Linked DNA regions of Oreochromis niloticus. The protein of the gene in region 1 interacts with the protein of each later gene in a biochemical or structural test. Links are inferred from orthologs where the notes say so. Each region holds a gene or a part of one and is shown in the gene's direction. Other genes may lie near its edges.

Region 1 (15,901 bases):
CCCCGTCTTCTACTGACTTTGTTCATGTCCCAGTTTAGTTTAGCTTTGTTTTCCCTAATGTGAACAGCCAAAAGCTGTCGGAGTATTTTAAAATCTGGATCTGGACCATAGCTAAATAAAGAGAATTCCAAGGAGCACTAACATTTTGTGAGAAATTAACTGTTGGATGCCCTGGAAGCTTCATCTACCGTCTCTCCACTGTCCTTACTGTGCCTTCTTATGTCCATAACAAGATGTTTCAAATAAAAGGAATCATTAATGACTAAAACAAACTAACTTACCTGAGTGAGACACTGAGTCAAATGGACTTGGGTTTGTGTGTCAGTATATCTGACTTAATCTAACTGATCTAGAGCCAGTCCGGTGACATGATATAATTAAAGTTTGGTTGTGTTTGTTCTGGTACAGTGAAACTGCAAAAGCCTCATAAAATCAGTTAGGGTTCAGGTTTAGTGATGGAAAGTCTGGGAAAAGTCCTTCCTGATGTTGTTATAATGGTGTTAAACCAACGTATTGCCGCCTTTTTCCTTCTGTTCTTCCAATCATAATGTCCTTTTCTAATGACCGTTGTTTTCTGATGACATGTTCGAAATAATCGAGTCTTAACTTCTTTATTTGTCTTCCAAAACTGTTCTTTTAGCCCTTTTGGCTGTGCATAGTATTGGTAAAATAATTCAGCGACTGTCCTGTTTCCTTATTGTTCAACTTTCACAACTATAAGTGACCTTGGAGAAAATCTAACAGTGTCCTTAGATTTGAAGACTATCCAATGATTTCCTTCTTGCCTTACGCGGTTCATCACCATCTATGTCGACCATGATGGCACTGTTGTTTCCAGTTAGTCAGTCTTTAAAAATAGATTCTCATAAAATAGATGAAAGAGGGTATTTTAAAGCCACTAGCCATCCAGTCATTGTGAAAGCAGCACAGGGGACTAGGGGACAAGGAACCATGGTTCTGGAGGTGTATATACAGGTACAATGACAAAGACACACAGTGCAGGTTTGATAGTGCAACAAAACCACTTTATTATTAGTTTTATTAGTATTAGTATTGTTAGTTTACATTGTGTCGTTATAAGTAGGACACAATGTAAACTAAGACTTTTAGTATGGATATGACAATATTTAGAATTTAATAATTTAATAATTAAAGTTATACAAATATCATCCTGATGATCACAATTAGGTCCTATTCCAAATTTATCATTGTTTTAGAAGCTGGATATGAAAATATTATTAAGGCAGTAGTTGTAGTGATTTATTGAAATGTGAGCAAACAAACGGAAATGTTGTATAAAAGGCAAAAACAGAGACTGTATTAATCTAACGAGTTTGAAAGTCAACATTTGGTATGACCACCTTGATTCTTCAGCACAGTCTGAACTCTTTGATGCAGCTTTCTTGTCATTTCATTAAGTAGTCTTCGGGAATAGTTCTCCAGGCTTCTTGAAGGACATTCAAAGCTCTTCTTTGGATGTTGGCTGACTTTTCTTTTCTCTGTCAAGATGATCCCACACTGCTCCGGTAATGTTGAGGTTCTGGGCTGTGTTCATAATTCAATCAGTTTGGGCAAGATTCCCAATTGGGTTTGGATTCATCATCCATCCAACCTGTTGCCACTGATTTTCAGTCCAGTTCTTGTATATTTGGCAAACATCAGCCTTTTCTCTCTTAAGAATGGCTTCTTGACAGACACTCTTCCACTGAGATCACTGCTGATGAGGCTTCAGTGAACAGTAGATAGATCAACTGAGGGGCCAGATGCATCTCTCGGGTCCTTTGTTGGGTGTTCGCTGGATTTTTTCTTACAGGCAGATACTTTTCTGCCTGCCACTTTTTCTGTCCTCCACTTGTCTGGTTTCCTTAAGAACACACTGCAAACAATGCTGAGATATGCCAGATTTTTTGACTAATAGCACGTTGTTGATGCAAAAATACTATTTTATGCCTGTCAGACTGTCATTTTTTTGACTAAGGAAATGATTTGTTTTTTTAACAGGCTGCTAGTAACAAAGTGGAGAAAGATACAATTTAAAATTGGTTCTTTGCTAAGTTGTCTGTTATGTATAGACACAAGCCTCACTCATTCTCTGAGTTAGGGATTTTTTATGATTGAAATATTCATAGAAAAACTTTGAAAGACCTTAAGAAAGCCTGGAGAACTATCGCTCAAGACCACTTTTAATAACTTCCAACAAAGTCTGGCTGCTTGGAAACAAAGACTAAAGTCATATGGGTGGCTCTTTTGTTTTTTGCACAGCACTGTGCCTGTCTTAGCTAGGGTTTATAACTAAGACACATGTTCTGTAGACACTGCACATTTGACACAAGGCCTCTTGTCTGTCACGGTCAGCTCTGTGTTGCACATAAACCAGATAGCCAAGAGTTCGTGTGGGTCGAGTTGCATCAACAAAAGAAACTTTGCAGAAAAAAATGCAGATGTGGTTTCATGTAGACTTGGATTGCATTTGAGGACAAATGTCTTTCATTCGCCATGTGAACAGGTTTGGGCAAATCATGTCTTTTTTGGAATAAGGGCAAAAAAAAATCCAAACATATTTTGTTATACAGTCAATGAGAGAAAAAGCTTTTCTAACAAGAGTCCAAAGGAACATCTGTGGATGGAACAGTCACTATTTGAAGGGTTGTTGCTTTGTATGATTGTTCATGTATGTGTTAATATAATATCACCCAGAAGGCTGTCAGATGCTGTTATACAACAGCAGATTATAATCCTGATGTTACTGTCATTACTGCGGCTATGAGACATCATTGTCTCTCACTCTCTCAGTGTCAGCGTTTGTGCACTGCTCTCTCTCACTCTTCCTGTGTGCGCGCATGTGTGTGTGTGTGTGTGTGTGTGTGTGTGTGTCCCACTCCATCTTTCTTTCTCTTTGATTACCTCTATTCCTCTCTGTTCAGTCTCTCCCCTGTTTCACTCTGAGCCTCTCTGTCTCTCTCTGGATCAGTTTGAAGTCTACCAGTAGGGGTGTATATGTGGGCAGCAACCTGCAGGTCTTTGTATCGAAAATGAGCGTTACATTTTTCAAGAGGTTAGCAGGTAGTCAGCTCTTGTCTGTGTGTATGAGTGTGAGTGTGTGTGTGTGTGTGTGTGTGTGTGTGTGTGTGTGTGTGTGTGTGTGTGTGTGTGTGTGCATAGATAAAATCAGACAGGGTGCAGACAAATGTAATCACACTCCAGCCATAGAGCAATCACGAATCAGATCCACTTCTTGAAGGCATTTCCACATCAGTTTCATCAGGTCTTTTTCTGTTCAAATGCCTGAACACAGATAGGATTGGTTTTAGGTGTTATGACACAGAATCCAAATTTAATGAAGAGGAAGACACACCAAGGAGGCAGGATTGCATAAGAAGGATGAATTTAAATGTGTTGAGGGTAAAAAACATTTTAGAAATATGTGAACTGAACAACTAATACATTAATGAGTCATGCTTGCATCTTTCTTTTATTTATTGAGATCTCCATACAAGCCATTCATTGTCTGTCTGTGTCTCAAGACAAGTGGAAACTCACTAAATGAGCATCATTCATTAATCAACCCCTCAGACACCACACTAATCAAAGTCTACAGACTCTGTATTGTTTGCGAATGAACCCTAAGATTCATTCCCCAGCCAGCCACTGGTTATCTCTATGATATACGCTCCCTGGCCACTTTTTTAGGCACACTGCATTAGTAGCAGGTTGGCCCCTTTTACCTTCATCTGGGACTCTCCACCATTTGACCCTAGAACTGAAGAAGCTTCTCGGATGAGAGGTGAAACGTCCTCAAGCAACTTAGAGAAGTCCAGACCATGTGGCCTCGTTCAAGGTTGGAGGCACTAGAAACTCCATCTGCAAATTTCAGGTTTCAGGTGTTGCTCTTTACCCACTGAAGCAAAACTATTAGCAAATCAGCTGCATCCTTCAAGTCAAACACTGAATATTGATAACATGAGACTGAAACATTTTGGAGTGAAACATACTGATTGTCTGTAAATATTTCAACACTGAGTTCAACCTTAGAAGACTTTAATGTCACTGAATGAGCTCCATGAGCAAGTGAACAGTCCTAACTGTTGAAACACACAGACACACACACATAGACACAGGTATTGTTCTCATGTCAACATCTGTGAAGGACAGATTTCCCTCTAAATCTGGCTGTGATCCTGCTGCAGACTCTGTGGGTGGGTGTATGCGTGTGAGTTATGTAACTGTTTCCTTTCTTTTCTTGGTGTATTTATGAATGCACAGATATTTTTTCCTCTCCCATACCCTAATTAGAATGATTACTTTGGCACGCAGACAGACATGGGGTATTAAAAAAGCTCATCCTTTTCTCTTTCAACCATCCCTGCTTTACATTTTTTCATGCCTCTGTTTACTCCACTCAGTTCGATTTCAATAATACATCTAGAATATGTATATTTTAGTTGCTTTGTGCAATACGCACTCACGCACTGTATAGAAGTGCCTCATAGCTGCTCAGGAACAGAGGAACAGACCTCACATATGCCAGCAGGTCTAATGAATAGACCCCAGCAGAGCGATGATGAGGGAAGGATGGACAAACACAGCCGTGTGAAAGTAAGCTAGATCAGAGGACTAGCCTAGCCGAGGCAGAGATAATGCCATCGATGTAGAGCTGTGCCTCGACTTTGTTGATTTTATTCATTACTTTTGTCTTTGAAGTCTTTGTTGTGCTTTTGCCCTTCACATCTCAAGAGATCACATGTCAGTCAACACATGCAAAACCTAGAGATGCTTTTCGTTGAAATGTTTTGATAGGAAACTTGTCTTTCTTTGAAAATCCTGCCATTTTCCCTTTCACTGCTCACTCTGACCCTTTTCACAGTTGCCTAATGTAATGCACTCTTGCTTTCAGTGGAAAAGTAGTCAAACATGAATATGTGCTTTTCTAAACGACACAGTTTGATATATTGCCACTAAATACCTTATTTACTTAACGTCACCAAATGTAAAGCGCGATTGGACGTCTAACTTTTTCACTTTTTCAAACTGGAAAGCTGTTTGAGAGAAAAAAACATTGCTTTGTGTTTGCAGTGGCTTCAATCTCACTGCAGCGCTTCAAAAGTCCAACTTAGCAGGATCAAGCAATGACACGAGATGAGAAATTCAGGAGGAAAAGGCCGGATGATGAAAGTGTGGGAGTCGGAGTGGAGGATGGTGGATGATGAGATGAGATGGGATGGGCGGTGGGGGGGAGTTGTAGATGGCAACCTGACAAAGGAGTATTGATTATCTTTGGGAAGCGCACGCGCTATTGATTTGGAGCAGTGGCAAATGAATTGCAGTGTGTGAAGAGATGTTTTCCTCCCCAAAGACGTAGGACAGTCTATTATTTGTCTCCTTTGCGGAATTGTAACCACGTGTATTGTGTACATGCAGGTATTTCGACTCAGAGTTGATTTTGTTGTGTAATGAAAACAGAAACAAGCTGATATTATCAGATACGGTTCTCCTTTGAGGAAGAACAAACTCCTGGAGGGGGGTTGGTAGAGAAAAATCAGTTGGTTGACGAGAGAGGGAAACACAGGTTATCCAGGCTTCGTACACACAGCTGAGCAGGGCGTCAGAGTGGAGCCCGCATTAGCAAAACTCTCATAGGAGCCATTTAGGAGCCAAGCGTAGAGTAATGAAGACAGAATTCCAAGTTTGCATGTGCAAAAGCCTGGGGAGGGAGACGGACAGGTGGGAGGGAAAGACAGGTGTTGGGAGGGGGATGGGCTTGAAGAGCTCGAGCTGTCTGCATACTAGTCACTTTTTCTCACAGCTGAGAATGAGAATGGACACACACACACACACTCACGTCTCCTGTTGCACATGCAGATAATGTTAAAGAGTGATTCAGTTGGGCTTGTGGCTGATTAAGTCCTGGGTAATTAGCATTTTCACAATATTGATGAGGAGAGCCAAAAGTGACATTTAAGAAAACCTATTGTCCCTTTAGTTTCACATCTTCAAAAACTCCTTAATTGGCTTTCAGGGTAATGGCTCAAACACCACAAGCCACAGAGGAGAACATCAACCTTTTGACAATTTATAACTTTGATCAGCTTAGCGATGAAAAGGTTTGGCAGCTGGCTCCCATACTGTACACCAGCCCAGCATTTATACATTATTTTCCAGCATAACTGATGCTCCTAGGTGATCTTTGCACTGCATAAAGTAGCTCTAACGCAGAACTGTTCAATATATATATTTTTTAAAAACCTGTATTACTTGCAGTGCGATCATAAAAGGTCTTGCCAAAAGGTTTTCAAAACCACAAAGATCATTGTCAGCTGAAGACGTCTGCAAAAACGGCCAGTACTTTTCCTCTCCTGGCTCCAGTTTTTAGGCTTTTGGCACCCTAACTAGGAATTCAAGAAACTGAGTTCAGAGATTTTTAAAGCAGGGGGAGAAAGATTTGTGGTGTGTGGAAGCTTAAAGTGTCACATCTGGTCTGATTCACCCAGCGCTGCGTTTTTGGATTTTGAAACGTGACGAGCCAGTCGCCATGTTTACTGCAGCACACAGACTATAAAAGCTGTGTGCATCTTTGTTCTGCATCAGTGTCTGTTTTAGAGTAAAGACTGTCAAATTTGATAGAATTTACTGCATCGTCCTGCTCGACTTCAAGTTTTTTGCCCCAAAAAGCAGCTAAAGCTGAAAATTGATATTGTTTAAAAACTCAGTGAAACCCACTGGTGTACTTCTAAAGTGAACAACCAAACTGCAGAATAATCAGGCTAAGTAAAGACAAAGATACACACAAAGATTAAAAGGATTATGTCAGATTGTTGACCTGCCAGTGTACTTAGCCATTATGTAATACACAGACACACAAAACAAAACAATCCCCCAAACTACTTCCTCTCGGCGCACAGATGCTAACTATTTTACATAATGTTGCCACTCGAATGCTTGCACTGCTATATTTTATGATGAAAGACCTTTTAGAATTAATTTCTGAGCTGTTTTAAGTAAGAAGTATTTGGAATATCAAACTTCAACTAAATCCATAAGTCCATAAATAAATGCATTATGGCTAAATCTCAATTCCCAAGTTGACCCGAGCTGAAGCGTTAGGCATTTGCTAATGTTTTAGAGTTTAAAGTTTAAAAAGCTCTTAGTCTTTCGCTGCCACCTTTTTCACATGTTACCAGTCCATTAAACAGCCATTATCACTTATTATCACGTATCACCAGAGGGCTTGAAGCTCAAAATCCCCTCATTTCTGGAGGTATTGAAAGACACTGTCTGCTTTAACAAAAAAGAACCACAACAAAGAGAGCTTGAGAGCATAAATCAGACCTCACCCTGCAGACTTGATGTTAACCCTTTCTTTGTTTTCCTACCAGCTCTCTACCTTTTGTTTCAGCTCCTGTGTTTGGTTTATTTATCATTATTATATTTTTTATAAATGTAGCTCTTCCACACATGATTTGACAAAGATGGCATCATGTGACTTGCCTGTGTAAGGTGGGTTTAGTTCTGCCTGTTGGAAATGGCGTGTACAACAATGCGCCTTTTGGATTTCTGTAGCTACAACAGGAGTGAGTGCATCATAGGGGCTTTTTAATTGGGTTATAGCATTCACAGTGGACGCTAATGTCCACTTCCTTTGTGTCTCTGCAAACAAGATCGTCAAAGAGATTCACCGTTGTGAGTGTTAAGGTGTGATATTATTTATCTGTGTTAGTTCTATAAACCACAAATGCATCGATGAATTTTCGTTTGTGTTTCTGAAGGACGCTCTGCTGCTGATTTCGATTGGTCAAATTCTCCTTCAGTCAGAAAGATTTGATTTGAAAGATTTGATTTAAAAAGGAAGTTTTAAATCTCTCTCGATCGTGGTGTCGGTTATTCTCAAAGATAGGTTTTATGGACAGCAGGCTTTGTTCAGGGCCCTGAGCGTATGGCTGCCCAGGAGTCAAATGAACAGTAAAGCACTTTCCTAGTATCCATTGTACATCCTGTTTCTTTCACTTTGCTCTTCCATCTCTAGTTCTCTGACTCCGTCAGCCTTGGATGCTCTTAATTAAATATAGTCAATGTAATTGTGATTGATCATTCAAGCAGTATGGGAGTTTAAAGGAGTTTAAATTGATTGTCAAATCAAATTGTGGAGGCGCCGGTTGCCTGATTGAATACAGGATGAACTGTGATAAACATGCTGAACAAAAATATTAAATATAATTATAATTATGGACATGTTTATTGTGGCATTAAACAGAAAAAAACAACATTTTGTTTGCGAGTGTTGTGTGAATTTTGTCTCTGTTGGATGATATGCCTATGGGCTGATGTAAGATTCAAGCTTTATGCCCTGCATAGCAGCGCTTTGAACCTTGGTGATATGAAAACTCTGTAGGTTATGCTGCTCTCACCGATGGATAGATGGCAAATTCCAAGATGGCTGTTGTAAAATAAAATTTCCACTCCTCACTAATTTTGGCCTAGGCTGCTGTGGAGTTCCTCTGATCCACTGATGTGTTTTTACACCCCTCTGCATTTAATCATTACTTATAATTTATCTCTGGCTCTCTTCCACTGTGTGTGTTTTTTTGTCCTGTCTTCCTCCCCTCACCCCCAGCCTCCCAACAGATGGCTGCCCCTCCCTGAGCCTGGTTCTGCTGGAGGTTTCTTCCTGTTAAAAGGGAGTTTTTCCTTCCCACCAAAGCGCTTGCTCACAGGGTGACAGTGGGGTTTTCTGTTTTCTCTGTGTTATTATAGGGTCTTTACCTTACAATATAAAGCGCCTTGAGGCAACTGTTGTTGTGACTTGGTGCTATATAAATAAAATTGAATTGAACTGAATTAAATTAAATATAATTTCAAATATGTGTCATATCAGTTTTTCTTTAAGTACATTTTATACTCAGGAGTGTTTTCGATGACCCTGGAGGGCCCGATTATGAGAAAATCTAAAATGTTCTTTCACTTTTTGTCTTATCTTCCTTTGTCTTTGTCTATGTTTCACAATAAAGTCAAAAACCAAAACTTGCTTCCTTTTACTCCCAACAGGTTCCAGCATTTTTTTTTTTTTACTTTTTTTTTTACTCTAAAGAACAATATAGGAGATATAAGTCCCCCCTCCCACCACCACCACCAGTATTTCCTTTTTGCCGGTATAGTCCTCTGTGTTGGGATTATTGCCAAAAAGAATACGGACCGACACACTGTGTATTAATTTCTTTCTCGTTATGCCGTCTGCTTTGTGATCCATTAAACACCGTGGTGCGTGCACGCCCAGCTTGGCTCTCTGCGCGTTTCTCGCGCCCGGGTGTGAGTCTCCTACTGTGCGCCGTATTCCTAAAGCCGGGGATCACGTCACGTGTCACGGCTCCCGGGTCCTGGGCCAAGGTTTTTTTTAAATTCCGTGTCAGACCATCCACGGAGCTTCAGCGCAGAAACCTACACGCCCCGACCCTCCTGCGCGCATCTCCGCTCCACGCTGCGTAACGAACACCTCAGAGAGGAGCGGATGGATGGATGCATGGATGTGGATAGATGTTCCCGTTTAACTGAACGCGCCAAATCAAGACGACTTTAAGTGACTTATTTGATTACTTCCAGCGATTTCCAACGACCCTCGGATTACCTCTGATCTTTGGCAAGCCAAGGAAGGATAATTTTTTGTTTTGTTTTGTTGTTTTTTTTTAAAAACGAGAGAGAAGAGAGGAAAGAAGGAAAGGGAAGCTCCGGGTCGCTGAGAAAGGCTGGGTGCGCTAGAAAGACGGAAAGTCACGGATCATGCTTATGGGAACTTCCGATTCCGTCTCAATAAGGTAGTTTAAAACGATAAAGTTGTTCTGTTTGCATGTGATTATTTTTATACACACTGAGTGCAGGAGACAGTCCACTTTTTAGGGACGAAAAACGGAAAAAGGCACAGATGATGCGCGCTCTGGCGGCTCCTACTTCCATTAATACCGTTTAAAACGCGAATGGAAGAACTTTTACAGCAACTGTTCATATCAAAGTGTATTTAATATTGTTCGGTGTTTACAAAAGAACCCCAGGAGGAGAGCTTCCAACTGCCTGAAGGGTCAGATGCGCTCTTCTCACATAACAGCAAACGGCGGACAACAAAGCCCGTTAAAAAAGAAAGAAAAAAGAAAAGCTTCCCCAAAAGGGCAAAGTCTGTTAGCTGGATTATGATCACTAATGTTTTTGTTCTCGACGTTATTCCACTTATTACAATAATAATCATTATTGCTGTGGTGGTTTGTTTTTTTTCCTCTTTTTTGGCGCATTCCCTGCCCACCATTGCGTGGTGTGGGCTAAAAACCTTCAGCAGACCAGAGACAGAACAGTCCATCTGTTCAATCACATAGCAACAGGAAGAGAGAGAATGAGAGAGAGAGGGGGAGACAGAGTGGGAAAAAAACATCCCTCTACTATCATAATACTCTTATAGTACTCGCACTTAATTGTTACCTAATTTCAGTAAACACATTTTTTGCATTTCTACTAACTGCTGCAACAGCAGGCAGTTGTCAGTCTGTAGTGCTCCATGGTGCCTTCACTGTGTTATTACTATGGATACTATGAAATTCAGGCTTGATGTTCTGACAGAGACTCCCAGTTTTGTCTGATGAAAGCATTTATTGTTTGTTTTTTGTTCATTTTAAGGAGAAAAGAACAAAACTGAGATGAAAGGCTATTTTGAAAAAAAATAAAAGCCCATGAAAAAAACCCTGGCAGATTTGTAAAAGGACTGTATTGGAAATCCGTGTTTTAGATTGATTGGAAGCTCCTGCTGCTCAGGGATTGGAGGAGGAAATGGCCTAAGTGTTTATTTGGCTCCTTGTGCGATTTGTCTCCAGTTGCTCTTTGCCAAGTTGATCTTTCACTCGCTTCTTTTTCTGTCACCGTTAATCTGCATCTTTCCTCTACCTTCATGTCTGCCTCCTTTGTCTCACCGTGGGCTCCCTCCCCACTTTCCGCCTCCCTCTAACCTCCTTCTCTCCTCTGACCTCCCTTCAGAGTGGCTCTGCCTGATGCTCTATCATGACTGATGGCGAAGGGAGAGCGCGCTTTCAGTACGCAGAGTGCCAGGAGCTGGAGGAGGTGCGGGAGGAGGTAAGGCTTGCTGTACCGACATCCTACAGGAATTACGCCCAAGGTCATGAAGATGACCCAGGAGGAAGACGCCCGGATGATGAGGAGGAAGAGGAGGAGGTGGAGAGGACGAGAAGGAGCAGCAGGAGGAGGAGGAGGAGGAGGAGCAGCAGCAGTAGCGTTCAAGGAGATGGAGGAAATGAATGGAGTCCTGAAGTTCAGGGGGATGAAGAACAGGAACCGGAGCTGGAAGTGGAAGTTGGACCAACACTGGGAGTTCGCATCACGGCTCCCATCCGTGATCCAGACTGCGTCTCCGAGGATGAGGAACAGCAGCCGTATCCGGCCCTGGCCCCCGTGGCCTTCTTCTGCTTAAAGCAAACAACGAGGCCTCGCAACTGGTGTCTCCGCATGGTCTGTAACCCATATCCTTTAACGTGCTGGATCCTGACCCCGGCGATCGGTAAGACGAAATATGTCCTCAGCAATGTTTGTGTGTGAGTGCTGGCACGCCTGCATACATGTTTGAGTTGTCAGTAGAAACTTGCTGCTTTTGTATAAATACACAAGCATCAGCGACAGACTCACACTGGTGACACGTGCAGACATGAAGGGTGTGTCTTGGTATTGGGCAAGAAGTAGATGTTACCTGTTGTGAGTCTTCGTCCTTTGCTGATGTGAGATTTGTTGTTTTACATTCTAAATCTTTTGTGCAACAACTTGCACTTCCCTCTGTGTCTGTAAGGTTGGTATTACAGCCTCCAAATCTGGTGGGTTGGTTATTTTTAGGGTAAATTAGCTTTTCTGTTATAGGACCTGCTAACACGCATAATTGAGACAGCCCCAAGTACGCCCAGCACTCGGTCTGTTTGCCTCTATAGACTGAAAGCGCTGTAACACTTACCTGAGCTGCTTTAGGCTCAGAATCAAGCACAAATTAGTTCCTGGCTATATATATTCTTTTGAAGCTCATCAGTCAGTTCAAGCTGTATTCCCTCTACTAACAGTTCTGGCAGCCATTTTATTCTAATAATCAGATATTTTAATTTAATTTCAAAGTGCCAAGTAGTCCAAGTGAAATTACTTCCTAGGAGAAGTGCTCATGTCTGCTTTACTTTCTATTATTACCCCCTCAGCTGAACATCCTGCCGGGATCATTTTCATCTGTGGGATGTTTTAACACACTGGAGCATAAGAACATAATGTGCATCCAGATATAAGCGCTATGAAAAGAAGCTGAAGATGAACCGCTGCAATATGGGGTTTTTTTTCATTCGTGATGTGGTTAAGTGGGTGGTGTAAAAACAAAATTAGGACCTGACTCACATTTATTTTCCTAAGTGCTTCCTGAGTACCTGGAATCTAATATAGAAGGTACCAAGAGTATAAAAATACAAGCACGATTATAAAAGTAAACTACATTTATTCTTTCTGAGATTCTCTTTGTCTTCAAGTGATTAAAAAACCCCCACTCTGACAAGCTTCTGTTCATGTAGACCTATGATAGTGGAAGCTTGAAGGTGTAGTGAATCTAAGGAGGATGATCTGACGCAGAGTTTGAAGTCGGAGAAGAAAAACATGCTGTAGAAAGGTAGATAAACAGCTAGATAAAGGGGCAACCTTATGCCCACACATTTCCTCTCTGAGACTTCTGTGCGTTTAGAGGCCAAAAAAATCGAAAAACAAACTTTTAAACAGCGACATATGCACACACACACTCAGTTTTGTTTCTTTTCTGCATGTAAAGATTCATTAATTTGCCTTCATCATTAAAGATTATCAGCTCTAGAGATTGGAGTGGATGATTCATGCGCTATTCAGACTGACACTGTGACGTGGGTCAAACCCACGTTGATGATCTGTCTGAATAGGTCAGTGTGCGTCAGCCAACACTTCCTCACGACCCTCCTCTCGAGAAGGGCTGAGGATTGCTGTGGTGGACCGCTGTTTCTATTAGAAACGTACCGACTCCTCTGGTACGAAAGGAAGTTGCAGGTCGTGTCTTCTGTCATGACTTGTGGACTTGTGCCTAATTGTGGTTTGCTAAAAGATTTGACGCACATGTTTTGTGTTGGGTTGCTTTGGTGATTTTGTCTGTCCACTGCTAGAAACAACGCTACAATAGAAAGGTCAAAACCATTGCAGGACCTTTAGCCCTCAATGTGAGCAAAACCTCAGAAGAGCAACATTTTTTGATTGATTTAAAAAAAATCAACTCAAACCTTTATTGACATTTCTGTACTGCCATTTCTAATCTTACATATGCACAAATACAAATTCATTGGTCTGACAATGCTACAAGGGTTTTCACCATAGTAGAATTTCAAACTTACTGATACTGGGAAAACACGCAATAATCGATACAAGTTTTGGTACCACAGAGACAGAAAAAAAGACAACATTTTTAAACAAAAAACAACCAAAGATTAGAGCAATAATGGTTCATGTAAATAGACTCAGCTACACCTCTGTTTATTTCCTTTGCTTTTGGTGACTTGGTACCATATATTTCATGGTGATCAAGTAGCGTTGGTAAGGCTTGCTGTATTGTTTCTGTCTAGTTGCTGGTAGACTCTGTGCTGTGCGTGAAGCTGTTTGTCAGTGAAAGGAGGCAAATATGGTATCAATACTGCTGCAGATGAGTATCTAATCTGATTGCAATCAGGCATTTATTTATTTATTTATTATGACAGCCCTACTTGGCACATACAGTAACTACAGTACTGAAAAAAGTGATGTTTTTTAGAATTTTGGTATTGAAAAGCACTCTGTCTGTTTTGATGTCATCCCTATCTGTTACCGATGTAAGCCACTGTGGGAAACTGCCTTTCTGCAGCATTTCTGCCATATATTTTTTAAAACTGAACCCTTGCTTACAACCTAGATGATATTATCAGAAACTCTTTCTCCTTCATGATCTGACCTTTAAGTGAAAAACTGGTTGCCCATGACTCCACACTCTGGTCCCTTGTTGATCTCGTGTCAGCTGGAGTGATAAGAAGACTTCTGTTTAATTGTCCTTGAGAAGAAAACCTAGTATTCCCTCATGGGCTAAAGTGCCAGTGAGCCATCACCTAATTGATCACATGTCTCTAAGCACCAAAAAGCATCTCTACCAGCTTCCTCATTTCATTTTTGTGGATAGGACAGAACTCACAGGGAATTTCTCATGGGGATTAAAATCCCATTCTTATATCGGTTCTGCTCGCTGCAGGCGCTCGAGAATCGAGGCGTGAAAAAGTAAGGCAAGTTATGTTCTCTTACAGAACATGGTAATGGCTAATAGAGATATTAAAATGGGACTGTCCTGCAGCGGGAGAAAGCTGCATCTAAAATTTGTTGTTAAATAATTTACAGGGCTTTAACGTGCCAGGCATGTGTTGGCTTCTTCTTTTTTAAAAATGGACCGCAAAAAGTGATAGGAAGTCCGGTCGGGTCTTTTTCTTCTAATGTTTTGGATTTGAATTCGTAGATGTTATTTGTATTTTTCAGTTGTCCTGGTTTCACAATCCAAATAAATGCATGAAAATTGTTCACTAAGACAAATTCAGAGCCAACTGGAGCAAGCAGATGAGGAACGAAGAAGGTCCGAAAGGATTAAAGCATGTCCAGGTAAACACGCCGACACGTAGGACTTATGATTTGGTAACCTGCTGTCCGACAGATGCTAGTGTTGCGTTACATTACCTCTGTTTTGTTCACTGCACTGTAGCAGGGCTAATACTGCAGTAGCTGCTGAAGCAGACCACTACTATGAAGCAGATGCTCCTATGGTTAGCACATGTGCGCTTCACTGCTTGTGCGCTGATCACATGTCTGATTTCTATCTGAGTGCAGACTTATTTATTCATTTTTTAAGATATGTTGGTTGAAGTTGACAGGCTGGGCTATTTGTACCAAGACAGCGAGGCTAATGAATGAGGCGCGCACTGTCACATGCTCGGCCTTGCATTATGACTGCTCGTTTAAAACTGGATACGGGTTATGTCATAAGAACTGATCTCACCGGACATCTCTCTGTGTTGTATTCCTGTGTGTCTGCGAGTGTGTGGGCGTGCGCGCAGAACCCACTGTTAGCAGCACAGAGTTGGTGGTCCACAGTAGGTTATGTAAATATTTTTCGGAGCATAAATTCTCTGCCACTCAGCAACAAAAAGGAATGAACACATTGGGAAAAACGAGAGCCGGTAGAGGAGGGGAAAAAATAAATAAAGAAACAGCTACATCCATAAATTTCAAACAACGCACCTCTGAATAAAAGTGTTTTATATCACATCCCGATTCCAACATGTGTAGTCCAACAGTAAAATATTGAATCTGTACTGAGACGGTCATTAATCACCTGTGACTGTAAAAACAGGTCAACAGTTGCTCACAGTTACCAGAATAGCATTTCAGCACAGCAGCATTTGTCATTCACGATGTTTATCAAGTCTGTTCACTGGTGATCAACTAGCCTGGTCATGTCCAGGAAAATGCACACATAATAGAGCAATTGATTAGCTCTTGATTAGCCTAGCATGCAAATAGACTTTAAAGACAAAATTGGCATTTTTTATTGATTTCTTTTTAAACTGATGAAAGTCACCCTAAAATATATTGGTTTGGGTGATCTCTGAGTACAGCGTGCATCCACTGAGAGATCAAAAACACTGCAACTAAAGGCAACATGAGCAGAAAACACAACAGAAGTTGAATAAAATAAAATGGAAGTGTTTTTGGGGAGACAATACCGTGATGGAACAGCTGTGAGAGTGACAGAAACTACAACATGTGACGTATTGCACTGAGACCTGCTTAAAAGAAGCTGTGGATTAATCGG
Region 2 (16,504 bases), on another chromosome or scaffold:
TTATTCTTAGATTTCACACCTACGTACACCGTTTTAATTTCTCACTAAAACTTCTCATGTCTTCATCCATCTATGGCCACTTTACATTTCTTCATCGTATACTATACAATGAAGAAACAGGCAGGTGAAGATGTTGTGTCTAGGTGAGATTCTGTGCCATGGAGAAATGTCAGTTTAATCCAGTGGTTCCCAAACTTTTTTTGCTAGGCCCCCCTTTGTTTTACAAGAAAAATGTTTGCTCCCCAGGAGTAGTTAGTCATTACAAGAAGTGTTTGTGAACTAAAAATCCGATACTGTTTGTCCGTGATTTGGAGAGCCCAGCGCGTGCTCCCGACGCAGGAAAACCAATTCTGCAGGGGAAACCTACCTCGGCACTTGTGCAGGGAAGATATGCTTCAAAGGGAAGATATGCTTCACCATATTTTCTAGTCTTTGGCTTGGAAGGAAGTTGGTTTGGAAACATATTTGGCGATGCTTCATCTCCTGCTTTGCTTTGGCTCTGCATCCCCCCTTAGGGGGCGGGCCCCACACTTTGGGAACCTCTGGTTTAATCAATCATGCAAAAATAATATAACATTTAGATAAAAAAAATGTCTCAAAAGATAAAATAAAGTTATTACCCCTGAAATAAAAAGAAATGTAACTTTACTTTGCAGCATTGCAGATTTCCTGCCACAAGGAAGGTCAAATCCAGGGTTAAAGTTTTAAAAGGTGAAATAGAAAGCCTCAATCTGTAACAGGCTGGTTCCTCTGAAGGTTTCTTCCTGTTAAAAGGGAGTTTTTCCTTCCTGCTGTCACCAAGTGCTTGCTCCTAGGGGGTCATCTTGTTGGGGTTTCTCTGTTTTGTTGTAGGGTCTTTAACTTTCAATATAAAGCATCTTGAAGTTACTGTTGTTGTGATCTGCCACTGACTAAAATTCAATTCAATAATGTCACAAAATGTTAAAACTGACAATTACATTTCATAAAAGGAAACCTCAGACGGCCCACCTCCATCCACCTCATAACCATCTCATAAAATCTGAAAATGATATCTTGAAAACTGTGGACACTAAAGTGCTAACAAACAAACAGACAGACAGACAAACAGAACATGCAACAATTACATAATTCCTTCCTTTGGCGATAGAATTGGCACGATTACACCCAAAGAGGATGAACATTTTGGTCAAAGCAGAAACATTGAAACACTGAAACTAAGCCATTTCAGTTTTCAATTATTAACGTTTTTTTCCTTAGACTGACCTCTTCACATATAATAAAAACTAAAACCAGCAACTTTAAGTGTCACGTTCAGTTTTCAGTTGCATTTATTTATGGAGCAATTGTGTTGTAGAGCAGTGTTTTCTCTGCTCTCCCTCCACCTCCATCAGTTCATGTAGCTCTAAGGTGTCATTATTTCCCCATAACAACAGAACAAAACTATTTACCAGTGACGACAGGTGCTCTGGTTGTTTTGATATTTGCCACAATTGTTCCCCTGAAACACTGTTTAAGACTTGCAGTGTAAACTAATGCTTTTTAGGTAATTCCATATAAAATCAGCAACATCTAAGAAATGTTCCCACCTGTCCTCTTTAGAAACAGCAAGATGTTTTTCTGTAATCAGTTTTTTGAGCACCAGTATCTTGGGATACATCATTGTTTAAACAGCAAAATTAGTTGCAGATACAAGTGTTTTAGCTGTCCATTGTAACACTCCCAAATGTAGCTTAGGGCTGTGAAATGGAGAAACAACGTCGATGTTCACATCTTCTATATAATGGTTTGAAAATGTCACATTCCTCAAGCAGCTAAAGATGTTTCTCAGAAACCTGTATTCTAAGCAGACACGAGTCTCTGGATCACAGAGATCTTTGTTCGGTTTGTGACAGCTTTCTTTTGGCAACGATGACATGTACCATTCTCTCACTGCTATATGCTGATGATATCTAAATGACATTTTACCAGTAAAGGAATATTAAAACATTCTGTTCGTGGATATTTGCTAGAATAAAATGGCTTGAGAACATCTTCTAAAATTATTTGTGGAGAAAGTGTGAGCCCAAATTTATTATTAATCCACGAAGAGATGTTTTTTTCAGTACCTGAGGTCTCTGTGTGTGAAAGCTGGTGGTTCCTTCCAACACTGCTTGGTTTCCGGCTCGAGGAGACAGTTGTCAACGTGGACGGGGTGAGAGAGGTCGAGCCTGCCCTTCTGATCGTCTGATTTAAAAAGAAAAAACAGAACAAGAACAAAATAACACATTTAACTTTAAGTAATAAAGTAAGAATAGAGTGGATGATTTAGTTACACATTAAAGGACCTGTTCCATTTATCCCAGTATTGAATACTGTTGGTTTTACCTGTGACAGCAGTGCGACAGACCAGGTGTGTAAAAGTGATGAAAAGTCCTGAGGGGCTCCTGAAGTAGGAGTGCAGCACGGTTCGCACTCTATCACCCAGCTCATGTAACAGCTTGGCATCTGATTGGTTCACCAGGCCTTCCTGAGCCAACTGAGGAAGAAGCAGCAGTGAGGGTCACGAGATGCTGCTGAGAGCATCTCGTAGACCTGCTTCAGTTATGTCATTTCCACCCACCTTCACCGCCCTGAGGACAGTCAGACCTTCAAACGTCTCATGAGGAGTGTGTGGAGACCGCCGTCCTCGATAGCCATCTCCAAGAGATCCTGCCACCTATGGAGACCACGTAAATGTGTATGTTAGGGGTTTTCACATGCGTGCGTTAAAAAAAACTGATTGAACTTACTGATGCTAACTGCAGTATTCTGTCACACTCCTTCTCCGTCATGACTCCATCCAGGACGACTCGATTGGTGCCGTTCAGCATCTCGTCGTCCATTGTGATCGTCACGCCCACCTGAGGCACCGGACCACCTGCAGAGAGGACAAATAAGAAAGGATAAGACAGTAAATGGGTCACTTCTTATTTTAAGCAGAAGATGGTGGTACGACTGTGTTTTTTCTGATATGAAGTCGCCGAAGCTGCCAAATGGGAAATATTTGTTTCTATAATGACTGTATTTAATGGGGCGACCAGATCCCAACAAACTGAATATATTCTCTTTGATTTTACTTTTATTTCAGGCGCTGGTCTGTTTAGTCTTCAGGTTTCAGTAGATCCATAGAAACTGTGTCACTTCACGCCTCGTTTTCCTCTGTGTGAAATTGATAAATTATTCAAGCAAATAAGACAAAACTCTATTTCTCGGTATAAACTGCCGCTTCAATTTCTTTGTAATAGTTTCCATAATATTCAACAAAACCCACAAAGCTTGTGACTTTTTGGTGACTTTCCCTGATGGTCATAGCAGCAGACAGGCTAATCTTGACTTGACTATAAGTGACTCCTTCCCTGTTTTATATTTTAGAAAAGTCTAAGCAGTGTAATATAAAGAGTAGAATGATTCATTGACACGTATTTCATAGGATATGTAGATTACTGCTAATTTTAGTCATTATTTAATAATAGTCTTCTAGTGTGTCATGGTAAAGTCATCTTTAACAGAGATGCCGAGAAACTGTGACACACTGCAAATAAATGATCCTCTATTCTCTAATGTGTTAGATTTTCACATACATAAGATGTGTGAGCTGTTATAATCTGTTGATCCTTACTGACAACCCTACAAAGCCTATAGGTACGTGTGGATGTTATTCATTATTTCACTTGTTAATGGATAGATGGATGTTAATGGTTACATGCCACATAAACAGGCATATCTGTAATGGATACACCTGTGTTTCCTTGTTTTAAGCTACCTGAAGTGCAATTAAGGTGACGAGGAGCTCCTCCCATGACGCCCTAGGTAGAAAAGGCTGAAAACACATAGCATAAGGAAATTACCTGCAACATACTGACTCCCCAACATACTGTTTCTTACCTGCAAAAAACCCACTGTCATCCACTTCCTCTTGCTGCTCGCCCACTTTCATTTTCTCATTCATTTTCTCTTTTTCAGCTCTAACATTAAAACACAAAAGATACAGATGGAGTTTTCTGTTTCATTAGTTTCCACTAGTGACAGATTCACCTTTGATTTCTTTTTCATTTTCTTTCTTTTTTTACCTCCAGATCTCCCTCAATGATTCAGGTACAACATCTTCTGGAGTCCAAAGATCCTGCACAGAGGGTGATGAATAACCTCAGCAAAGAAATGCTTCATAGCTGGCTCTCTTGTCACTGCACTGCACATTTGGCATCAGTACTTACTGGATCTGTGAAAGTGAAGTCGAGGTTCTCCATACCAAAATACAACAGCTTCTTCTCCTGCAAGGAGTGGCTGATGTATCTGACAATCTCCTGTGTGACAAAAACACACAAACCTGTGCTTAAATATGACTTTAAAGATGAATTTGAAACCTAAGTATGCTTGAAATAACTGAACAAGAGAAGTGAAAAAATGTATTTCTCATTTAAATTACTTGGATTACTTTATTGGATTTATAACTTTTTTACGTTTTGACACCACTGTGGTAATTTTAATATAATGAACCTTGAGTGGTTTGAATGGTACCTGAGCAGGCTGTGCGCTCTGTGACTCTGTGTCTCCCCCTAGTGTCTCATGGTAGAGCTGCAGGTTGTCTAAGGAGTCCTTGTCAGAGGGGTAAAACAGCAGGAGAGAGCGAAGTGTCTGCAACGCCCCGCTTATGTCACCGGCTGCCGGGAATTGAGGATGCAAAGTAAGGCAAAGTAGTGCATCAGTCTTAAGATGAATAATAAAATCACGTGTGTGACCTTCACATTGACCTAAAAAATCAGACCTTTAAACTGTGCGATGTGCAGATGCTCAAGCTGTGTTGGCAGGAAGTCCTCCTGAGCAGAAATCCTTCCAGGTCGTGTGGCCACTTGAGTCACGCATGACTGTCGGCATGAGAGCAGCGAGAGGGAGAGGGCTGGACAGAAAACAAAAACTGGTGACAACTGGCTCTTTCTGGTCTCTTTCTGTCTGGCTCAAAACTTCTGCCTGCTTCTTACCTGCTGCCTTTTCAAACACGCCGTCAACGCTGTCAACTCCCCTGTCCTCAGGCAGCCGTTGGGAAGCGACTTCACACTGCACCCTGCACTCCTCTGTCTGCTGCAGGGTTTCATTCACACAAGCTTTCCATTTCTCTGCTGCTTGCTTCCATTCAGAGTTAGCCTCGAGCTGCAGTGCAGCATCATACAGGACCTGAAGTCAGTGATACAGAGACAGAGATTAACACAGGGAAATAACACAGTCGCCATTTGCTTGCTAATTAAAAAAACAACAACTAATGAGTTGTATATTGTTTTGTATCATAGTGCTTAAGAAATATAACACTTTTAAATATAACTATTTTAAAATTGCTGTGCAAAAGTATTCTCAGTGCTCCTCTAAGGAATCCTTACAGCAGCATTAACAAACATTTACTGGAGGAGAAAAAGATTAACCGTTTATAAAACACACACTAACCAATACCGATGAGATGCTATTGAATTATAGGTGGTTTACACACTGATTATTACAATTCTTATTGTTAAGTGTTACCCAAAGCTAAAGGCTAGCGTTTGATGATGAAGTACATTTTTACTTTTGAGACATGTGCATGCAAACAGACAAGTGAAGGTGAGAGTGAGACAGAGAAATTCAGTCCCTCAGGCCACGTCTGACTCTCCACAGTGACGTCTCTAAAATCATTCTGTTTGAACGCCCTTCATCAGCTGTTGAGTTGTGAACTTAAATCAGAGTGAGGACTATTAGAGGACTAGTTATGGCTTAGTTAGGGTCAGTCAGTTAAAGAAATGTCTGATATGTTTGTTCAAAGCCTTTAAACCTGTCTGCATGTCGGCTATCATTAACTAGTTAGCAAGTGCAAAAACTCGCACTTCCACTGCTTAACTAGTGAATCAAAGCTTTTATGCTTATTAGGAACTAAAACTGAGAACTATTAGTTCATATCAGAGGACTAAAGTGCTTCAAAAAGATAAGTAGTTTGGTCTTTTGTGCTATCTGCTTATAATTGGACAATAACAACACTAGCGGCTGTGAAAGAAGGTCGAAGGTAAGGCAATATGTTTGACTAGTGCTGACAAACATTGTTAACCTAACCATTAAGCCTCTTTAGATAAGTGTTCTTTATTTTCACCTACAGATTATATGACAATGAAGCAGCTTTTTAGAATTTCTGTTGAATTAAGATAATTTTTTTAAGGTAATCACAAGATTTTTGCTTTAAATTGCAACATTTGGAGTGGATGTAAGACAGCCTTCAGTTTTTTTAAATGTCTTTTTAAGACCTACAAATTTCATGTGTCTCTCCTCTGTGCTTATGAAGGTATGAGGGCTCCAAAATGCTGAAGGAGCAGCTCATTCTGAATGGGTCAGACAGTGAATTTATTCAGATTTGACTGATTTTTCTAAGCAGTGCAACCCAGTTTCTTCCCACTTACACTGTATACCCCATTACTCTTCCCTCCTCACCCAGTGTTTCTCATTGTGACTCTCTCTGTCCTGGAAATCTTCGTCGGTCACGCCGTCCATCCGTCTGTACTTCTCGATGTTGTTTCTCATCTCCAGGTGAGAGGGGTTGGCCACAAAGTAGGTATGAGCTGCCGATGCCGCCCTCTGCAACTTTTCTAGCTGATGTGGAGGAAAATGAGAGACTGAATGAAGTTTGTTACAGACCACTAAGGGTGTTGCTGTGATTATTTATGCAGCTGTGAGCTGAACTATAATTATGGCTGCAGACCATACTGACAGGTGCTTCCCTTTAAATGACAATTTGGAACACAGTACTGGTAGAAGTAATGACAATTTAGGAGCTTTATTATGCAGCAGCTCCTTATGGCTGTGTAAAGAACGACTTACCTTGTAGTAGGTGACTTGCAGAAAGTTATAAGGGTTGCGAGTGCCAAACTCGTACTCTATATCAGCAGAAACAGGAAGCTGTCCAACATGTGTGACAGAGCGTCCAATGCAGAACCTCAAACACTCAGCTTTTTGATGCACCCAGTCCAGGGCCCAGAGGTCCCACATAGTCCCCTGTTCAGAGTCTAACAACACACACACCATTGAAAAGACGATAAGGTCCCAGCCTGTGGCATATATTTTATACATTTTGATTTTTAGAACTGCCAACAATCTACAACAAAACACAAAAAAGCCTATCTTACACATTCTTTGAGCTCTTGAGGTCACATTGTTTTTTAGCTACGCATTTAGACACCGAGAAGTAAGGGTGAAGCCGCCAGTAACTTCATAAAATCATAAAATCTAGTTTCCAACTAGTAATTAACACAGACTCAAAGCTGTTGTCTGGCTACATGATAGGTCCAATCTTCTTCTTTTGGCCGTTCCCTTTAGGGCTGACCACAATGAATCACCTGCCTCCATCTCACTCTTTCCCTATTATCCACCATCTGCATGCCGTCCTTCACCACATCTATGAACCTCTGCTGTGGTCTTCCTCTTTTATTCTCACCTTGCTGCTGCCGCCAATATATATAGCTACTATCTCACCTGTGCGTATGTCCAAACCATCTCAACCATGCCTCTCTAACTCGTCTCCACCCACTCCATCCTGCCTGCATTCCCTTCTTCACCTCTCCCTTGTGTACTGTTTGTCGCTTTGGATATCCCAGGTATTTAAACTCATCTACCTTTACTACCGCTACTCCTCTTCTCTTCAGAGCATACACATCACTATTTCGTCTGCATGAATCCATGAATACTCTACGTATTCATGGAGTAGGTCAGTCGTTCCTCTGGCTTTTCCTTAAAGTTGGCAGGTTTGAAAACATTCAGCAGGTTGTATGGAAGAAGGTACTAATGTCTGCTCCCTTATTTCTCGCAGCAGATGCCCCTCCTGACATAGCCCTTCATCCCTGAGGGTGTGTTTGTGATCTAGCAAGTGTAATTAAGTCAGCTGTGAGAAGCTAAAAGAATAACTGAATTTCACAAAATCTGTTCTAATATGTTGCATGATGCACTGATGACATTAATATCAGGGTATAAAATAAAAAGACTGGCTGACAGCTGATTCAGACACCGACACTTAGTCTGTATTTCTTTGTTCCATTAGCTTTAACTCTTCATTACACAGTTTTGAAACATTTAGTTCGCCCAAAACTGTGTCACAGATGATCTTTATTGGCCAATTTTTGCTGATATGCCAATATAAGTCAGCAGGGACAAAACTGGTCTACACCAGTGTTAAATAGCTAATTTATTAATGCAGTTTAATTTAATGAGCTTCTACTGCACCATTCAGGCGCATTGTTCAGACAGATGATCATATTACCAGTAATTGAATATCTGATATAATTTATATTAGCGCCCAGCTTACCCAGTTTCTTCAGAGCCTCTGTCCCTGCTGCCATACAGTCATCATGACACTGCCTGCGGACCCTGAACAGTGATTCCCTGGTCGCGATGGATTTCTCCAGCAGCTCTGCAGCTTTGCCCCACTCCCCACTAAAATATGCGCGGACCCCGCTGTAATACAGAAAATCATACGGCTGGAGAAGTGACATAACATTGGGGCTGCCTCTTGCCCAAGCCGTTGAGGTAAAACTAAACAGTGCGAGAATAGCACAATTAAACGCCACGTATACAGTCAAACGTCCCGATTGAAGCGCCATGGTCCGACAGGCAATCCCAGCAGAGGAGGCGAAGGTGGAAGCAGAGGAGGGACTCCAAGGGGAGAACTACCCACAAAGTTTCCTCCCTGTTAAGAAAGTGGGGGCTTTTTTTGTATTTTTATGTACTTTTTATGAATTTAATACATGTAATACAACGCTGCGCGTTTATTAACGACTCCCGTTGGGTTTGCTTGAGTTTGTCAAATTGGGTTTGAGGTATTGATGAGTTTTGACTTGATTAAACTTGTTATGTTTGAAGCTACAGTATTTGTATCTCATCCGAGAGGAACCCGAAGTACGCAACCGACGTTACCGTAAATATAACTGTAAAACAGCTTTGGTAGTTTGAAGTGAAACTAATAGTTGTTGGTTATATTTTGAAGAAATTAATCATTTCTTATAATTAATAGAGCATTAACGCACATTCACATTTTCATGAGGCGACTCGGCAGTGGACATACCAAGTAAAAAATAGTCGTTTTTGCATTATAAAAATGAGAGCGCGTACCTATATCCTGTGGATTACGGTAATGAGCAGCAGCCACTCTGTGTGCGGGACTTCTTTACGGCCTTCCCTCAACACAAGGCAGCGTCTCATGATTCATTCAGGCAAACACAGGCAGCACAACACGGGCCAGACAACGGACACTCTTCCGAGCCAGGGTATCAAGAGGCTGGGTGTCCAAACTCAGAGCAGGTGTCCCGCTGCAAGGTGGAACTAGCGAGCTTCGTCATGGCGGACGTTGGTGAGCTTTTGATGTCGGTTTTGTCCACAATTCGGGTCCCGAAACCCGGGGACCGCGTCCACAAAGACGAATGCGCCTTGTCATTTTCCTCACCGGTGAGCCATTTTTCCTTTTGTAAATCAAAACTTCAGTTGATAAACAGTGTTGCTGTGTTGTATTCCCTTCCTCTTTCGTGATTCACACTAACGTAACGTTTTGCCAGTGCTGTCTCACTTTAATGGTCTGTTTTTCTACGTTTTCCCCATTTCACATAACTAGCAGGTTAGCCTCAAGCTAAGCTAATAATGCAATGTAATGGAAACTTAGCGGTTATAGCTTGTTAGCTAGCTCTGTGGGTTTAACTGAGTAAGCTGTCAAACTAAGTCAGTCACAACTGTTGCAGGACTATTGATGATGTAAATTTACCTTTGCTCAGAGTGTGTCACACTTAAGAGACACTATTTTTCTGTGGACTTTAAAATAAACGAGCATTGTTTAACAGCAAAGGCTAGCAAATTGACAGGAGTGCTAGTTACTTTCATTGTAGCAACTGATGCTGTGACATGCTTAAGACTTATAGATCGCATCCAACTTTAATTTGCAAGTCTACTGCAAGTGGTGCGAGATATACAGAGAGGACAATAAGCATTAAACACTGTCTGTGCTTCCTTTACAGGAGAGTGAAGGAGGCCTGTATGTGTGCATGAACAGTTTCCTGGGTTTGGGGAGTCAGTATGTTGACAGGCACCATGCTCGTTCTGGTCAGAGGGCTTATTTGCACATCACCCGGACTCGTAAGGCCAAGGTGGGACACTTTATGGTTAAAATACGGTGATCTAAATTACATTTATCTCTATCAGCACCATCCTTTTACATGTCCTCTCACCTACTCTCAATGCCAACAGAAGGAAGATGATGGTAACTCTGGCTCTGGACACCCACCTAAGAAAAAGCCCACCAGACTGGCTATAGGTGAGTGCATAAGCATACATGTATTTAGAAAAAAGGCTAACTCTATGGGTATCACTTTTTCCAAGAGGGACATATGCTTCCACCCTTGTTGTTTTTGTTCTTTTCAGGTATTGAAGGAGGGTTTGATGTAGAGCAGGAGCAATATGAGGAGGATGTAAAAGTGGTGATTTTGCCAGACAGGCAGGAGGTGACATCCGAGGACCTGACCACCATGCCTGATGTCGTAAGAGAGCGGGTGAGAGGTCATGTTTGTTTTCTAGTCTGTTCAGGTTTTTCCCAGGTTGTCAGTATGGCAGTAGATGGTAAGATAAGATGTGCTTTATTCATTTCAAATGTTGGAAATCTCATAACTATATGCTCGATTATCAAACAAGATAACTGATACAAAATAATTTTAATGCCACATCCTGTTTCACAGTGTGGCATGAAACAGGAAACCCATCCCTTTTCTTTGTTATTTACATTCACATGTATTTTTTTTCCCATCAAATTATAGTTAAAATGAAAGGAAATCCACTGATTTGTTTTTGAAAGTTGAATAAATCCATAATCTTTTAAAAGTCTTGCTATAATTTTGTTAAATAATACTGCACCAAGATTTTGACCAAAATAATCATTATTATGATTTTTACCTTAATCACACAGCCTTACATTATCTTAGCAAACAAGTGAACTTTTTCAACAGTCCTTTAATACAAGAACTTGGGTGGCATGCATATAGGCGTAAATTATGATTTATGGTTGATAAACAAGGCATTTTCTCTTGTTTCCCAGTTGAGTTGGATATGAGCACTCAACTGTGACACAGTCAGATCAAATGATAAACAGTTTTTGAACACGTCAGCTCCCTAGTGCAAAGTGTGAGATCTCTGGATGCTCCTATGTGTAAATAGTGCAAATAATTGTCCAGAGAATTCACAGTGACAGTGGGCATGTGTCCTGCCCTCCACATGCTTTGCCTAGGCAGCTATCTCGCCTAAACCTCACAAGAGTATTTCCAGTAGTGAGAACACGACCGGAGTGGATTATCTCAAGTTGCCTGCCTCACTTCAGACAATGTCCAGACCTGACTGCCAACATTTTCCAGAGTTCATGCTTTTTCTATTGTCAGTTATCAAGTATTTGAAGTTTTATCAAATCACTTAGTTAGATTGTAGGTGGTAAGATGTGTATTCTTTGAGTAATGTTTGGTTTATTGTTTTGAGCTGTATTTGTTACCATGGTGGAATAATTTCTGGTGTTGTTTCATGTTACTTGCCTGTTTGTTTGTGTGGAGAGGATGCATAGTGCTACTATATCATCTCTTTATCATCATCTAACCTTTTGCCTCCTTCCAGTCTGTTTGGGGTTTTCTTTTTCTTTAAAGAAAAATCTCTGTGCTTAAGAGCAAGTGGACTTCAAATGAGATTTTCTTGAAATGTGTCCCCCTGCTGTCCACCTAGGTGTCCCTGTCTATGGCGGGTATCATGGCAGCTGACTCAGTGTCTCATACCTTACAAGTTCAGCAGTGGGATGGAGAGGTGAGACAGGAGTCGAAGCATGCCGCTGACCTTAAACAGCTAGACAATGGAGTCAAGATCCCTCCCAGGTGAGGTCAAAGCTCTATTATTTAATAATTTTGCCATGCAGCAGCTCACATATTCTCTTCAAATTTGATAAAAGATGTGCTGGCTGTCTATATGTACAATAAATCTTATAGAGTTGCCACAGGTGTATCTATTTTAGTCAAGATACTGCCTTTCTACATTTAGAATCCACTGATTCAATATTGATCCGGTTCCCTTTTCAGTAATCTATTGTAAAAGAGAGAATGTTGCCATTTAAGCTCTATAAAGGGCTGTTATCTTTATATCAGAAAGTGTGTTTATTGGAGGCTTTCTCTTCTGTCTGTCGTAGTGGCTGGCGGTGCGAGGTGTGTGACCTCCAGGAGAACATTTGGATGAACCTGACGGATGGCAAAGTTCTGTGTGGCCGCAGGTACTTTGATGGCTCTGGAGGCAACAACCATGCTCTTCTCCACTACCAGGAGACCGGTTACCCACTTGCTGTCAAACTCGGTACCATCACTCCTGATGGCGCTGGTAAGCGAAAAAACGATTTGATAATAGTTGGTTTGTGTTAATTAACTTTAAAAATAAATTACAGAGATTTTGCATTTGTCTGAAGTTCAGTCCCTGTGCTGTTTTGTTTTTCCAGATGTGTATTCCTATGATGAGGACGACATGGTGCTCGATTCAAAGTTACCAGAGCACCTGGCTCACTTTGGCATTGACATGATGACCATGGAGAAAGTAAGTTTTGTTTTTCTTGCTGATTTTATTTTGGATTTAATCACTTATCGACCAATACAAGTTGAGAGCTGTCAGATTTCTTCCTGGTTTTTAATGTTATGCATTAGATCAAGGTCTTGTACATAGAAGTATTGATCAGTCTGCTGCTTTATGATTGGAGTGTTGTAAATTTAGACAGGGATATGGGACTTTTTTCCCCCTTTGCAGACATCCAAATAATGGTGGTGCCTACTTTTGTCTGTTAGATAGCCATTGATTCTATGGTGTTGCAAAAATTAAGGTCTAAAAACGTTGCAGTGCTACTGAGCTGAAAACACTTAAAAAAGATACTTCTCTTATTGAATATCTCACCCCCTTCTGATCTGGTTTTCATTTATTATTGCTTTTGTTTTTTGTTAACTACATATAATGTTGTTCTTAATATAATAGTTCTTTAATATAATTATTACTGCTTATCATATTGACCTACTTCCCCTTGTTTCATTTTCTGCAACACCTGTTTCCTCTTTGAATCCCTGCTGTCTTTTATTTCTTGGCCACCTGCTTCCCCTCTTATGCAGAGTGCAGTCTACACAGCTGTCTTGTCTAAGATGTCTGTAGCTCTCACTGTGTACTCTAATGTTATTTCTTTTCTTGCTGATGTTTTTCTGTACACACCTAATGATGTTGCACAGCCGAGGGGGTGAAAGAATTGTGGGATAGTAAAGCAGAAGAAAGAATACAGCAGTTAGTGGTATATTATAGTTTGTCTGCCTGCCTGGTGTCATTAATGAGTCATACTGCCTAATCTCGTTTATCAGTTTTCTTAATATAAAAACTTTTCTTTAATGTTTTGTATTAAGGCTCTTGCAAAGAATTTTGCTTTCTTACGCAACATATCTTCCCTTTACTTGTAAGATAAGATGCTTTGTTTATCTTAAGTTGAGAAGTTATGGCAGCACAAATATTAAAGATGTGCTATAACATGCTTAAAGTGGAATAAGACTGGCTCAATGAGGAAAAAAATAAACATGCGAACAATCAAAATTAGATTTTGGGGAGCAATGAATAAGTATCTAAATACAAGTTTGGATTACACAATTGTCTTTCTTATGAGGAAATCATCTTAGGTTAAAGTTCTGCATCATAAACCAAACAATATTAAACTGTGTCACTGGTCTGTTGCAATACTCAGTTTCAGCCAAACTTGACTTGTTGGTCAGATTGCCTCATATTTGACTCTAGAATACTTTGGTAACAGAGAAGGTCATGGTTGACTTGATGATTGTGAGGGGCCCAGGTTGTATGGCTGCTAAACAAATACAAATCATCAACCCTTTACCGAGCTTGATAGATGTTTATGCTGTTTGGTTTTCTCAGTATGTGGTGCTGTGTATTACAGTCAAACATGTCCTCTTTGGTCTGATCTATCCAAAGGAAATTGTCTCAGAACTCTTGTGACTAGTTCAGATGCAACTTTGCAAACCTAAGCCATGGTGCTGTGTTTTTTAAGCAAGATTTTTTTTTTTTCTCCTGGAAACCTTTAAAAACAAACCATACATTTTCTAATCATGCTGTAATTAAATGTAATGTTTAACACACTGAGGCTTGTACAGTCTGAGATGTAGCATTTGGGTTTTTTGGGGTCTCTGAGCATTATGTGGCCTGACTTTGGGGTGATTGCCTACAAATGGTCAAATCCTCTGATTTTATAGTGGTCACTGATAATCTTTTACTGTTACTGATAATCAGTTAATCAATTAAACCCTCTTAATTACTATGGAAGCAGAAAGGGTATGCTCAGTTTTTAATTGGACTGCATAGAGTCTTGTAAAATTTATTTTGAATTTTGAATTTGACTGAAAATTAGCAAGAGCTCTAAACTCTGTGCAGCACATCAGTTTCTTGCTTCACATTAGAACTATGTTAAATTGCATTGTCCCTTTTAAATAAATAATGACATGAAATGAAATTCATAGTCATTTGGATGGCCTCTGTGTTAACTGATGGAGCAGTCGGTGTAGTGATTCAAACTGAATTCATACAGCAACAGCAGGTGCTGCTGGCCTTGGCAAGTAATATGAATGTATTCCTCAGCTAACAGTTCAGTATTTAGGCCACAGAAGTGTTCCTCCACATGGTGTAAACCGAGATTACACAATGTTTCATTCACAAACAGTGCAGTCCCCACTTTCTAAACCACTCAGATTAACTGAGCTCTGCCTGAAAAGTCCTGAAGCCAGATACAGTCACACAGTCCACGTAGTGTGATTGCAGCCACCATACTTACTGCATTTGCTTTTCTGCTTTCAGACTGAGAGGACAATGACAGAGCTGGAGATTGCTGTGAATCAGCGTGTGGGAGAGTGGGAGGTGATCCAGGAGTCGGGGACCACCCTGCGCCCCCTGTTTGGCCCCGGCCTGACTGGCATGAAGAACCTGGGAAACAGCTGCTACCTCAATTCTGTCATGCAAGTGCTCTTCACCATCCCAGACTTCCAGAGCAAGTCAGTAACCTCCTTTTTTTTTTTTTTTTTTTTTTTTTTTTTTTACAGTCCCCATCCAGCTGTGTGTCTCATGTTATTTCTTATGGCAAACTGAAATTAAAAATGTTGCTTTTTAGTCAATATTCACCTAAAAGGTGAAAATTTGTCTGATACTTTGCTTTAACATTTAAGATGAATCCAAAGAATTTCCTTCCAGCTTTTCTGTCCATACCTCACAGGTACGTGTCTAATATCGACAAGATAATTGATGAAGCACCGAGCGACCCAACCCAGGACTTCAAAACCCAAGTGTGAGTTTCCTTTAAATTTCCTTTAAATTCCTTTAAATTTTAAACTACAAGCTTTTGTATAATTATTAAATGTCCAAAAACACCCCTCATTTGTACTGCAGGAGAGTGAAAGCGGCTCTTTTTAAAATGTTAGACGTGTTTTCGTGCTACCTTAGTTTTCATGCACATGTATTTACATACACACATATGGCTTCCTGATATTGGTGTCACACACTGTAAAATCAAATAAGCCATCTGCATAAATATACACAGGCACATTTACAGTGTGCCAGCTGTCAGCAACGAACCCAGTTGTGCGCTTTCCTGGCAGCTGCATTTTCAAGTGTGATAATTGTCTTTTAATGTGTAAATACTGCCTTTCTCTATTGAAAGGTGCTATTTTTAGACAGACTTACATCGACACCTGTTTGCTGTTGTTTCAGTAGCACAGCAGGAAATCAACTAAAGAGCCTGCTTTTAAAGAAAATCCATTATTGTGAAAACAGAAGGTCGACGCAGCTCATGTAACTTGACCCTTTATCAACAGTTTGATATAATAAGATTAAGTCTACTTGCTATCTAATTTTATTGTTTTCTTGTTTTCATTAAACTCATATCTACTTTATTCTAAACAATCTCTGCTTTTCAGTAGCTGCGCAGCAACCTTTCAACACAGATAATAATATCAGCTCCATGATTAGATTTTCCAGCTTGTTATTTGAAATAAAAATGTAAAAAATACATCTTGGTCTATATTTAAATCCACCACCTGCATGAGGCTGTGGGATCCTGTTGGATGTGCAGCTTGTCAGCTTGTTTGTTTATTACAGAGCCAAGCTCGGTTATGGTCTGCTGTCAGGAGACTATTCCAAACCAGCACCAGACCCAGGAGAGGAAAATGGTGCAGCTGAACCCAGGGTAAGCAGACAGAATCAGTCACACTGGATCCAGAAATCTAGGTTTGGAAAAATATCTGTCCCTTATGCTGGGATTTTCGCTCAGAAGTGAGTGAGACTATAGTACAACTAATGATGGCTCCCACAACTGAGAAATCCTTCTGCTCCGGCTTTGCTTTCAGGGAGACCAAATCGGAATAGCACCGCAAATGTTCAAAGCACTTGTTGGGCGGGGCCACCCGGAGTTCTCCACCAATCGACA

The links.
Region 2: the proteins of cacna1ha (region 1) and usp5 form a complex in vitro, tested with the Homo sapiens proteins (2 studies listed by BioGRID, with this or other methods). The link is inferred for Oreochromis niloticus from reciprocal best matches to the Homo sapiens genes CACNA1H and USP5.

Annotation. Positions count from the first base shown.
Region 1 is NC_031969.2:13,108,175-13,124,075, reverse strand, and holds the start of cacna1ha (voltage-dependent T-type calcium channel subunit alpha-1H), read left to right. Parts: upstream 1-9,283; 5' UTR 9,284-9,803; intron 9,804-11,004; 5' UTR 11,005-11,028; coding exon 11,029-11,504; intron 11,505-15,901.
Region 2 is NC_031976.2:23,487,247-23,503,750, forward strand, and holds the start of usp5 (ubiquitin carboxyl-terminal hydrolase 5), read left to right. Parts: upstream 1-9,305; 5' UTR 9,306-9,336; coding exon 9,337-9,444; intron 9,445-10,004; coding exon 10,005-10,133; intron 10,134-10,233; coding exon 10,234-10,300; intron 10,301-10,407; coding exon 10,408-10,535; intron 10,536-11,742; coding exon 11,743-11,888; intron 11,889-12,196; coding exon 12,197-12,381; intron 12,382-12,496; coding exon 12,497-12,591; intron 12,592-14,883; coding exon 14,884-15,077; intron 15,078-15,295; coding exon 15,296-15,367; intron 15,368-16,176; coding exon 16,177-16,264; intron 16,265-16,424; coding exon 16,425-16,504. Other genes in the region: p3h3 (prolyl 3-hydroxylase 3), read right to left, coding at 2,088-2,205, 2,347-2,497, 2,582-2,677, 2,751-2,878, 3,886-3,965, 4,071-4,123, 4,215-4,304, 4,519-4,661 and 5 more. UniProt on the Homo sapiens protein: Deubiquitinating enzyme that participates in a wide range of cellular processes by specifically cleaving isopeptide bonds between ubiquitin and substrate proteins or ubiquitin itself.